Linked DNA regions of Drosophila melanogaster. The protein of the gene in region 1 interacts with the protein of each later gene in a pairwise test. Each region holds a gene or a part of one and is shown in the gene's direction. Other genes may lie near its edges.

The links. The genes of interacting proteins can lie anywhere in the genome.
Region 2: the proteins of CPT2 (region 1) and SLC5A11 interact in a two-hybrid assay, tested with the Drosophila melanogaster proteins (one large-scale study listed by BioGRID).

What each region holds. Positions count from the first base shown.
Region 1 is NT_037436.4:2,979,442-2,984,106, forward strand, and holds CPT2 (carnitine palmitoyltransferase 2), read left to right. Parts: upstream 1-1,580; 5' UTR 1,581-1,681; coding exon 1,682-2,745; intron 2,746-2,806; coding exon 2,807-3,601; intron 3,602-3,718; coding exon 3,719-3,863; 3' UTR 3,864-4,110; downstream 4,111-4,665.
Region 2 is NT_033779.5:8,199,937-8,207,146, reverse strand, and holds SLC5A11 (Sodium/solute co-transporter-like 5A11), read left to right. Parts: upstream 1-2,014; 5' UTR 2,015-2,451; coding exon 2,452-2,460; exon of another isoform or gene 2,461-2,655; intron 2,656-3,510; coding exon 3,511-3,620; intron 3,621-3,677; coding exon 3,678-3,833; intron 3,834-3,900; coding exon 3,901-4,060; intron 4,061-4,216; exon of another isoform or gene 4,217-4,613; coding exon 4,614-4,679; exon of another isoform or gene 4,680-4,737; coding exon 4,738-4,789; exon of another isoform or gene 4,790-4,847; coding exon 4,848-4,915; exon of another isoform or gene 4,916-4,971; coding exon 4,972-5,385; intron 5,386-5,422; exon of another isoform or gene 5,423-5,438; coding exon 5,439-6,130; intron 6,131-6,186; coding exon 6,187-6,262; 3' UTR 6,263-6,682; downstream 6,683-7,210. Other genes in the region: CG8419 (uncharacterized protein), read right to left, coding at 1-868; PGAP5 (Post-GPI attachment to proteins 5), read right to left, coding at 6,792-6,801, 6,867-7,045, 7,114-7,210.

The sequences.
Region 1 (4,665 bases):
ATGTTGATTTCTGCGCACAGAAAAGAAAAGGATTTTTTAGAGGTTTTTTATGTGTTTTCGCATCTGGCGGCGACAGTTGAAATTTTATACTACCGTTGGTTGTTAATGAGTGTCGAGATTGTATGCTTTTTAAACACATTCAAGGGTCCTTGAATAGATTTTGTTATTAACGGCGAAAAAAGTGGAAAAAATATGTCACAAAAGAGCGCCTTTAAATCTAACTTTGTGTTTACATTTTATATCAAAAACATTAATTCAATCTGTGCTAGTATGCAACATATTTCATTTAATTTTATTTATTTATTTTTCTTTCCAATTGAAGTCCTTTATCCCACCAGTTATTTAAAGTCGCAGTTGGTCTTTAAAATGCGCGGGGCAATGGCAAAGCAATTACCCATCGATTTGTTCGATTCGGAGGCGCTCAAGTGCTTAAGCGTCCTTTCACCTTTTTGGCAATGGCATCCTGGCGATTTTGGTCCGTGGATAAACAGCGTTTTGTTTGCATTTGCGTGGCGTTTATTTGTTTGCCCGCTGTTGATGTCTGCTGGTCGAGGAGCTTGGAGCTTGGACGACGAGGGTTTCCCGGGGAAGAAACAGATCTTCGGAGGGGTCAGGACATCTTGCAGACGTGGTGGGTCAAAGGCTCCTGCGGGTATTCCAACCGGTCACTGTTCCCAGGTAAGTCGGAAAAAACACAAATGGTTTACTTAAATTACGGGGCTAAGAAAGAAATGAAAATGCGCATAAAATTTTTATACTTTGTCGAATTTCACGAGCGTTCCTTCCCATCGATTCATCTGTGCACTTTGCAGTCGACGCTTGCGGAATAAAATCCACTGCCCCTCAATTCCTCAAATTAAGTAAAGTGAGTAGGGGAATCCCCTTTTCCATTTAAATTTGCATAAGAGGCATCGGCGAAAGCGGATGAGGATGCGGATGGGTTGCAGTGTAATTGGGCGAAGTGAAATTGCGTTAATATTTAACAAGCCAGCGAAAGTGCAAAAGCGAAGCGCATTAAATGCGGAAAAGGGATACGGAAACGTAGTCCTTCGGGGCAAAGTGCGAAATTATGCGGAGTTCAGGGAGATCCGCAAGCCCTTTCCTTTGCGAGCACGGACCTCAAATGTTAAATGTTAGCCATAAGGTCAGCCAAATGTGAAACTCGAGCCGTGAAAGCGAAATGTTTGACCGCGAAGAGCAGCGCTGATTTTGAGTGGTAATTTCATTTCTCATTATCGTCGTTATGGTAATTCAATAAAATCATGACAATTCAAAATTTCGTGCCCGGCATGCGATTGGAATCTGATTATTGCAAATTCAATTTATAGTGCTATAAATATAAAAAATTTACAAAAGATATTAAACATGAATTTTAACCCATATAATATAGTACAGTTATACATAATAATAATAAAATCCGCAAAGATCTATTTATCGTAAATTTCAAACATATACGATATTCAAATATTTTGGCGCCATTACAGGTACTGAAAAATACCAAAAATACCGTAAGGTAACTATCGATGACGGCGATCAGCTGTGATCATCAATGGCGAACAGCTGATCTGGCTCGCGAATTTTCATCTTGTTGTTGGACTTTCTGTTGTGGACTTTGAAACGTCGCCTCTCGAGTTTAAACAACAAAAGTTACTCAATTTGGAAAGCCATCGAGTGGATAGCCATGTTTCGGACCCGGGTGCACCGCAATCTGTCGTGGATATCGACGAACTCGTCGAGGACAACGACCACTCATGGCCAGCACTACCAATACCTGCAATGTTCCAAGCTGCCAACGCTGTACTTTCAGCGCTCCTTGCCGCGATTGCCCATTCCTCTGTTGGAGAACAGCTGTCGGCGTTTCCTGGAGGCCACCAAGCCACTACTCTCGCCGGCGGAGCAGGCGCAGACCCAGCAAACGGTGGAACAGTTTCGCCAGGGGATCGGCATGGAACTACACGCGAAACTCAAGAGCCATGATGCAGAGAACAAGCATACCAGCTACATCTCGCAGCCCTGGTTCGACATGTATCTAGCCGATCGAGCGCCCCTGCCACTCAACTATAATCCGCTGCTGGTGATGAAAAGCGACGCGCGACCGGAGTACCAGCAACAGGTGGTTAGGGCTACCAACCTGATCATCAGCTCGTTACGGTTCTGGCGATCTCTGCAGGCGGATCTCCTGGAGCCGGAGGTGTACCACATGAACGCCAAGAAGAGCGACACTTCCAGCTACCGCAGGTGGATGAAGGTGGCTCCCAAAGCCTTTGCCACCTACGCGTCTTATGCCTTCAAGGCCTTTCCGCTGGACATGAGCCAGTACAACCGGTTGTTTGGCACCTCTAGGATTCCTAGGATCGGCAAGGACGAGCTGGTCCAGTCACCGGACGCCAAGCACATTCTGGTTATGCGCCGCGGTCACATGTACGCCGTAAATGTGCTGGACTCCAGTGGATACATCGAGAGTCCCAGTGTGATTCTGGGCAGACTAAGGGCTGTGCTTAAGCTTGATGCAGATCGCGAGGCAGCCAGCGTGCCACTTGGTGTTCTGACCTCCGGACAGCGTGATGAGTGGGCCAAGACAAGACAGCATTTTGTTAGCAACACCAAAAATGCCGATCTTCTGGAGAGAGAGGTGGATGCGGCTCTGTTCTGCGTTTGTCTGGATGGCGAAGAAGATGGAGTCTTTAACGAAAACCAGCAGGAGCCGCTGCTCAAGCATTTGCTGGCGGGAAAAGCGCAGAATCGGTAAGAAGTCGACATTATGTAAAGCCTGCCTGATTCACAAAATCATCCTGTTCTGTTACAGTTGGTTCGACAAATCCATTTCCCTGCTTATAAGTGCAGATGGAACAACGGCTATTAACTTCGAGCACTCGTGGGGCGATGGAGTGGCTGTGCTTCGCTACTTTAACGAGCTCTACAAGGATACTTTGAAGCAGCCGTTTGTATCCACGGAGACAGTGCACACTCCCGCCGAAGGCGATTTTAGCAACGTGCGGCCCATCAACTTCGAAATCGACGATGCCACCAAGTCGGCCGTTTCGGAGGCTTATAATAAAAACGCCAGCATTGTAGATAATCTGGACATGAATGTGCTGAAGTACCCACACATCAACAAGCCCACATGCAAGCAGTATGGCCTAAGTCCGGACTCCATCATTCAGCTGTCCTTCCAGCTGGCTTATCGCCAAGCCTACAGCGGCTATGTGGGCAGCTACGAATCCTGCAGCACATCCGCCTTCCGACACGGACGTACCGAAACGATGCGACCGTGCACAAATGCCACACGGGACTTCTGTGAAGCTATCCTCCAGCCGGAGAGGAGCAAGCCCAGCGCCGGAGAACTACGAGCAATGATCGACAATTGCAGCAAGGTGCATGGCCAGTTAACCAAGGAGGCGGCTATGGGCCAGGGCTTCGATCGGCATCTCTTTGCCCTTCGGCACACGGCCCAAAAGGAGGGAATACCAATTCCCGATCTCTATGAGACTGAGGCTTACAAGCGCATTAATAACAACATCATTAGTACCTCAACACTGGGTTCAGATGCCCTGCTAGCGGGTTCCTTTGGTCCGGTGGTCAAGAATGGCTTCGGAATCGGGTAAGCTGACTGCCTGTCGAGATTGGGTATTTGAATGTACAAATGCAGCACCTATTTTTCAAGTTGCCTCGACAAATTGTTCACTAGCTGACAGTTGATAACCCATTATTCTTTCAGCTATTCGATTCAGAACGATTTTGCCGGCGCCATTGTCACCACGTACAAAAACCAGGCCGATGGGAAGGTGTTCATAGACAGTCTGGAATCGGCATTTGATAAAATTTGCGCTGTCATCCAGCAGAGCAGCAGTAGCAAGAAGTAGGAGAAAATCGTGAGGAGTCCGACCCCGAATCCAATGAATATGGCTTTAACGTAACAGGGAGATTTATTTTGATGCTTTTACATTGTATCCCATGTGTCTGAATTGCAATATCTTTATCTACAATTTATAGATTATACACTGAAAACATTCTACCCCATCTAAAGCATCTGTGTCTTTGCTTTTATACCCGCTGCTTTAATGGCTTTTGCGGCTGATGGGATAATAAATTGGCTAACATATTGTTGGGATGCTGCTGGCTTGACATTTGCAATTGAATACGAGAAATAACTCACGTTTTAAAACAATGCTGAAAACAACTTTAAAGTAAAGAGTTTAAGAAGTTTATATTAAAATTGAACATAGAGTTATGATAAACGAGCTGAAGTAAAATCGAATAAGAGCGGTTGAAAGCATTTAAGATTATTTTGCGTAAGAAAATGTTTTTTTTTTAAGAAAACATCTTTCGATCCTTTGTTTTCCTAAGTAAAATCAACACACAGAACGATGTATGGCACAAACCCTTTTGAGTTGGTTTAACTATTGAGTCTCCTTTTAAGCATGCGTAAACTTTGACCTTTCATTGTCACTTAAGTTAAACAAGATGTGTGCCCACGCACACCCTGTTCCCAACTTGTTTATCCCGGAATAAGTGGGGGAAAAACCCTTGCATTAAACAGTTTCTGATTAAAGATTTCCCACACGCTGACCCAGAAAACTTGGCCACCAACCCTTCGGGCCAAGTTGTTGCCTTTCGATTTGTGTCAGCCGCACACGTCAATCGCGAACTCCGCCTAAACATGGC
Region 2 (7,210 bases), on another chromosome or scaffold:
GAGTAATGCTGGGTGATGGTGACACGGGGGGAGAGATTCCGGGAGATCGTGAGGGACTTCTGGTCAGTGGTGAGGGTGCATCAAAGACCTCTGGTCTTGGAGTCAGTGAAAGCAGAAGTTGAGTTGGCATCTGGACCTGGGGTTGAGTAGTGTCTGGAGTTGGTGGAGATACTCTCAGCTCCGGAGAAGCCTTCAAGCTGAGTAGCCTCTTGGGATGCAGTTGCTCCTTTGCTTTTATGGGCTGTGCCACCGTAGCATTACTGGCTTGGCTGCTGCTACTACTTTGTACGGAAACGGAGGAGGCACCGCTGAGTATGTTATCCAAAAGGGATTCAGGCGAAGTAGAGCTACCTCCTCCAGCCAAGCTGCTAGTGGGCTCACTGCCACTGTCCCTATCCTGCACACCGAGTTCGACATTGGATAGCCCTGTACCTGATGACCCTGCACCCTGGGCACTATTCGACAAACCCAAAGTCCTAGATCTTCGGATGGAGCTCTTTGGTGCCAAACCCGGTAGCTTTGGCACTGAGGGTAGATGTATTTTCGAAGTCACTTCGCTCTTTGGGGCAATAGTAAAGGTAAAAAGTTGTGGTGCTGATTTGCGACGCACTGCGTCTGGTAAGGGAGCGGTCTGCAGATTATTCTGCGAAGTCTGTGCGTTTTTTCGTAAGGAAATTTTGGCAGAACTCAACTTTATCTTAAGTTTCCCTAAGGATGCACTGGGTGGCACAGCTGGAGTAGGAGGTGGGCTCGGAACAACTATTTCCACATCCCCTCGGATGCGTTCGTAATCCGTTAACTGGCCACTCTTGTTTCCGTTACTCGTTTTTCGCTTGAAAGCGATTTTCGAGCGATTTTCCCTGCTCATGCTTCCCGGTTATGCAATCCTGCAGCTCGGACTACGGATTCCAGGCAATCTGGAGCACCACCGCGTGTTCCCGTTGCAATTGGGACTGAAACTGAGACTGGGTCTCGGACTTGGTTGCTGCCTAATCCAATTACATTCCTCATTGGAAACCCACGGCGCACTGCGAGTGCGAATGGTGGCAAAAGTCTGACACTGACAATTGTGCAATTATCTGTTGTGGTTGCTCATTCTAAATAGTTCTTTCATGACAACCTGTCACTTGCTATTGATTGACTTTCTGATTTTCTGAATCCAGAGAGTATTTCGTGGTATGATGGGTGGGAGAAGATCCAACGGAGTAACCAAAGGAACGTCTCAACTTCCGAGTACCCCGCTAAACCCGTGAAGTGAAACTCTAGATGGACCCGATGTCGGTAGTGAATCAATTATTTTTTCATTTACCACCAAAAGGGAGTGTTCAAATTACTTCTATTTTTAAATGTGGCAATGGTAAACTTAGGTGTGTAGTTTACTACACGTTACTTGAGCAATTGATAGTGAATATATAATAATTTCAATATTACAGAAAACCCATAATGTCATATTAATACTAATAACCTTTTAACATATGTGTTTTTAAAATTGTTCGAATAATAGCGGATAACAACAGTTGAGTATTTTTTCATCTGAATGCAACTAGCTGCTCCAAACTTCCGTTAATAGCTCCATTAGCTGATCGAATGGCCAAGTAACCACTTACATTGACATAATACATTGTGAGGATTACAAAAGCAACGAAGCTTTCTCTCCCACCTAATCTTGCCAAAGCCCCCACACATTTACAACACTCGCTCTTTTACTCTCTCTATACGCAATGGCAAGATAAATGGTTGGGAGAGGGAGCTTTTCGAGCGCAGTATTAAGGGGTATATTATGTTCATGTTACAAATAATACTTTTATCCAGAAAATATCAGTTGTATTCCCAATACTTGAGTCATTTATACATTTAGTTTTATTTATACATTTTATTTTTATTCTGTTCCGTTGTTCCTATGTTAAATATGAGGTAATGGGTATACTTTGATCGGTACTCTCCATTCTAGCTGTCCCACTTGTTTTTGTCGAGCAGCTGGCCTAGTGGCTTTTATTTTCGACCCGCTCGCAGACATCAGTTGCAGTTCGGAAGCGGAATCGGTTGATGTTGTTGCTCCGATTCGGACGTGGAATATTTCGCTTTTGTACACTCGTATTTTCGACTTCAAAGAATCGGGCAAAAGCGCACAGAACAGACCTGAAAAACTTTTCCGTGCGTTTCCGAGTTTTGTTTTAATGTGTTCCATGTGATTAACTTTGTACGTTTATAGAACCCTTTTTTAAAAACCAATGGAAATACACGGAATCCGTTGACCCTTTTTGCCACAAGAAAATTTTCATTACGTTTCGCAGAATTTGTTGGTAGTTTGCTCTTTCTGGCCGTTTATCGTGCGTTGCTTTGCTGTTGATTTTCGTGAGGGACGCGCAATTTTCCATTCACCTCCGCTGCTCCAGTTACGGAAGCCACCCCCACCATTGTAAAGCCTAGCGTTTGCCGGTCCCCAACAATATGGAAGCGGTACGTATTTTGCACATTTCGCCGGTTCCAAACATTAAGAGCTATTTAGGAACTTTGGAGCGGGGGACACGGCATTTGGGTTACAAAGTCCAAGTCCAGGGCGATAATGCTGCTGCTGCTCGAGATATTGCGTAAAAGGTTGAAGTCTCTTCTCTGAGATTCGATCGGCTCCGATTGATCATCCAGTCAATGAACCTAAATGGCAGACGAAAAATTAGTATTTTATGCTAAACACCGTCTGCATCATTAGATAGGAACTAAGAAAGTAAAAGAAAATTGGGAGTATTAAAAATATATTAATTTTGCTAATAACAAAAGATTCATAATCTAGAAAACCAAAGCTGGATAATGTCAAAGTCACCAGAACGAGTTATCTTGCCAAATATGCATTTGATAATAACGCGAAATCATATTAATAAAATGTTTTGTAATTTTGAAGCGATTGCTAAACATGTTAAATAAATAATACATGGGGAAAAGGGTTAAAGTCTCTAGTCCGTAGAGATTGATGAATAATAAGCAGGCACCTGCTGATAAGACCTGGTTCCCATAACTTCACATGGACATGGACATTGTGGTTGTAGGGACTTAAGTACCACTTTTAATAATATGATTAAGCCATGGCATTTTGGACGAGCGAAACAAACTGTTTAAAAGCAGATAAAAATGTATTGTGGAGTAATACATAAATAAACAAAGCGAGATAATTGTAATTAGCATGTATTTGCTAACTTTTTATACCTAGCTTTTAAGAAAATCTCTTACCGTACACAGTTGGTACTTTAAAAGCAAGAGTCTCATTTTCATTTTATGACCCATTTAAGACAAACTACAGCAATTACAAGTATATTGGCCACAGACCCAGACGTGCGATGATTATATGAATTCTGAGTTCATTTCGCACACTTGTTCTTACAAAAGAAACAAATTAAGTTTCTGAACTTTAAAACCACCTGATAGAGATTGTCACTGCCAAGGAGAATCACAACAAACTTTAAACTAAATCATATAAAGATCATAAACTGACCCAAAATTAACTCTTTTTCTTAGGTGGCAAAGAAGGGCATGGAGAACTACAGATTTGGCAGTGTGGACTATGCCGTTTTCCTGGGCATGATCGTATTATCCACCAGCACGGGCATCTATTTCGGGTGCATCAAGTGAGTGACCTTTAAACAAATCCTCGGAATATTGCCAAACAATTGTTGTAATTACAGGAAGAGCAAGGTGAAGCTCGAGGAGGCGGAACCCACTCTGCCGACGACCACGCCAAAAAGGCGGAAACACGATTTCGGATCGGAGAAGATGAGCGAGTATCTGCTAGGGTCACGCAATCTGAAAGTTTTCCCCGTTGCCATGAGCCTGATAGCCAGGTAGAGTTGGCGATGCGATCCCGCACCTCCAAATATGCCTGTACAATCTGTTCCCTTTTATTTCCAGCTATATATCGGGCGTTACCATACTGGGCACAACCTCTGAGATCTACAATTATGGCACGCAATATTGGTTTATAGCCATAGCAATAATGCTCCAAGGTATTGCCGTCTCCTACGTCTACATACCAGTGTTCTCGGCTCTTCAAGTAGGCTCTTCCTATGAGGTACGATACTCGTAAATTCTATAAACTGATTTATACATTTACAATCTAATGGGTCAATAAGCTTATGCTAACAGTAAAAGTAATAACGTCCAGAACGCAACCAAAAATGTAAATTGGGTTTTAACGGAAATATTAATTTAGCTATAAAATACTCACCATTTCTTTCAATGACGAGTTAGTTAAAATAAAGATAGACAAGTTCATCTGTAGTGGTTGCTGATAAGAATGACAAACTTTCTAAGATGTTTCCGTCTTCCCCCTTTCGCTCCGTCACTTTTGTCCAATCAATGAACGGAGGACGTAGTGAACACTTTAATTAACTGGGAATCGGAGACCACCCTCCCCTCAAGTGGAATTTCTTGGACTTTGCACTCGCCCACTTGTTGCGACTTTTTTCTGGGTTCCAGCGGTTCGATATGATTAATTGCAATGTGGTTTTCTGCCACTTGACAATTGTGTCGAGCAATTAGTTTTCGTTTTCGGTCTTTATGACGTTAGTTTTCGAATCCTAAACGCAAGTCATTTGAATTATGAAATATAATATTGCTTTCAGTACTTGGAGATGCGCTTTCATTCGGTCGTACGAAGTATTGCATCCTTTATGTTTATTCTGGATGAGGTAAGTCAAAGATAATATTTGGACTGCAATGTTGTAATAATTGTCGATCCAATTTTAGATTCTGTTTCTGCCTTTCATTGTGTATGTACCAGCTATAGCTCTGAATCAGGGTAAGCCGCATTTGTTAATTGTTTGAAACACAACTTTAATCTTTCGATAATCTTGCAGTATCGGGCATTAATCTCCATGTGATTGCAGTGGTAATTGTGGTCGTGTGTGTTTTCTACACCTTTGTCGTAAGTTTTAGAGAGTTTCATACGTATGTTTTTATACTAATGGCGCCTATTTTCAGGGAGGAATCAAAGCAGTGGTCCACACAGATGCTTGGCAGGTGCTGGTCATGTTCCTTTCCGTTCTTGCTGTGGCTATTTTGGCCACTGTCTATGCAAATGGCTTGAATGTCCTTTTCGATGATGCTGCCAAAGGTGGCCGATTGATCTTTAACAATACAAACCCATCGCCTTATGTAAGGCACACTGTTTGGAGCGTCCTAATCGGGGGATTCTCCTACTGGACCTCATTCAATGCCGTCAACCAGACCATGGTCCAGCGATACATGTCTCTTCCATCGCTCAAGAAGGCTCGTGCTTCCATGGCCATTTTTACAATTGGCGTGGCTGCCTTCGTCTCTGTTTGTTGTTATGTGGGACTGCTAATCTATGAGATGTACAAAGATTGTGATCCTCTGAGTGCGGGACTAATAACAGTGAGTAAATAATAAATTGTTTTTGAACTTTACTTACGTTTATTTCCTTGCAGCACGACGATCAGCTACTGCCGCTCTTTGTCGTTCAGAGTGTGGGTCATATCTATGGTATGTCTGGTTTGTTTATAGCCGGCATATTTGGAGCTGCCTTGAGCTCCCTTTCTGTGGTTCTGAACTCAACGTCCTTGGTAATCCTGGAGGATATAGTTCGCGGCTGCTTCAAGATGCAACCAAGTGAAAGAGCCTCCACCATTCTGGTAAAGTCAACTGTTATAGTTCTTGGCTTTGTGGCCCTATCACTGGTATTTGTCCTGGAACAACTGAGTGGAATCCTGAGCATTTGCACTTCAATGACGGCCATCGCAGCTGGAACCACTTTTGGCCTGTTTACCCTGGGAATGCTCGTTCCCTGGGCCAATACTGTAGGCACTGCTGTGGGCGGAATTGCAAGTGCTCTGCTCGCCGGGTGGATATCCTTTGGAACGCAGTTTACCATCGCAGCGGGTGAATTGAATTCTCAAAAGCTTCCCGTATCCGTGGAGGGATGTGTGGGCAATGTAACGCTTCGGGAAAATATATGGGTAGATGAGGAGCAAGTTTTTCCACTGTACCGACTGTCCTACCACTGGATAAATCCCATTGGTGTGGCCACAGTCATTGTGGTAGGTGCACTAGTCTCCCTTGTGACCAAACCCACAAATATGAAAACACTAGATCCGGATCTAATATCACCAGTGATTCACAGGTAATTTTTGTAACCACATGTTTAACCTCTGTTATTAAACCCATTTTTTCTTCTAGATTCCTTCCAAAAGAATGCTTTAGTGGTCGCAATCTCCATGCGCAGGCGCACAAAAACCTCTTAAACGTATCCTAAAATAGACGAACCAGAACTTCCTGTGCCAAACTAATGGAATTGATGGCATTGAATTCCACACCCTGTTTTGTTAGCATAGTTTGTAGTTGTAGTTGCTTTGTGGTAGTTACCTTATAGATAGCCTAGTCTAGTACAATGTGATCCAGATATTGGAAGACATAAACCGAAGTACAGGAACCTATGAATCTGCATCTCAGAATACAGAGTGCACAATCATTAACGTTATATAGTAAATGTATTATAATATAGCTTTATTTAATTGTTCTGTTTGTATCCGTTCTTTACTTTCCAGCCTTTGTTCAAGCATTATTTTTTTGGCATTTTCGATTTGTAGTCAGCAGACTGTGTCTCATTATGTATTCCGTTTGACTTTACAAGCATAATGTCTGTGATAAATTCAATAAATAGATCATACATACTATCCGAATTTTGTACACCTAGAATATAGTTAAGCGGTTGCAAAGCAGCAGGAATGATATGACCTCTGTCTGGATCTGGATCTGGGATCTGAGTCTGGAATCTGGCGTATCTAGTCTAAACTAAGCCCCAATCAGGCGTAAATCACAAAAGAGGATATGCCTTGTATAGGCATGCTTATACATACTAATTAACCTTCCGATGATCTACAGCCGACGACTGTCTTCTGCTTTGGATGCACTTTCGTAGCTGGAACCCGATGACAATTAGGCAAAGAATGCCAGCACTCAGATAGCTATTGAAGACAAACTGCTGTGGCAGCATTTTGCACTTGGAAACCACATAGTCATCGGGGGTTATAGTGGCCTAAAAGTTATGGCATGTTAGTACAAGTTCGAAGGGCTAACAATCGTAAGAGCAAATATAATACTCACCAGCATAAAGCTGGGATTAACTTTGTTTCGCCAGCTGAATGAGGCCACCGTGTACTCATCGATGCCCAGTCGATTTACACTGTGACAGAAGTGATGT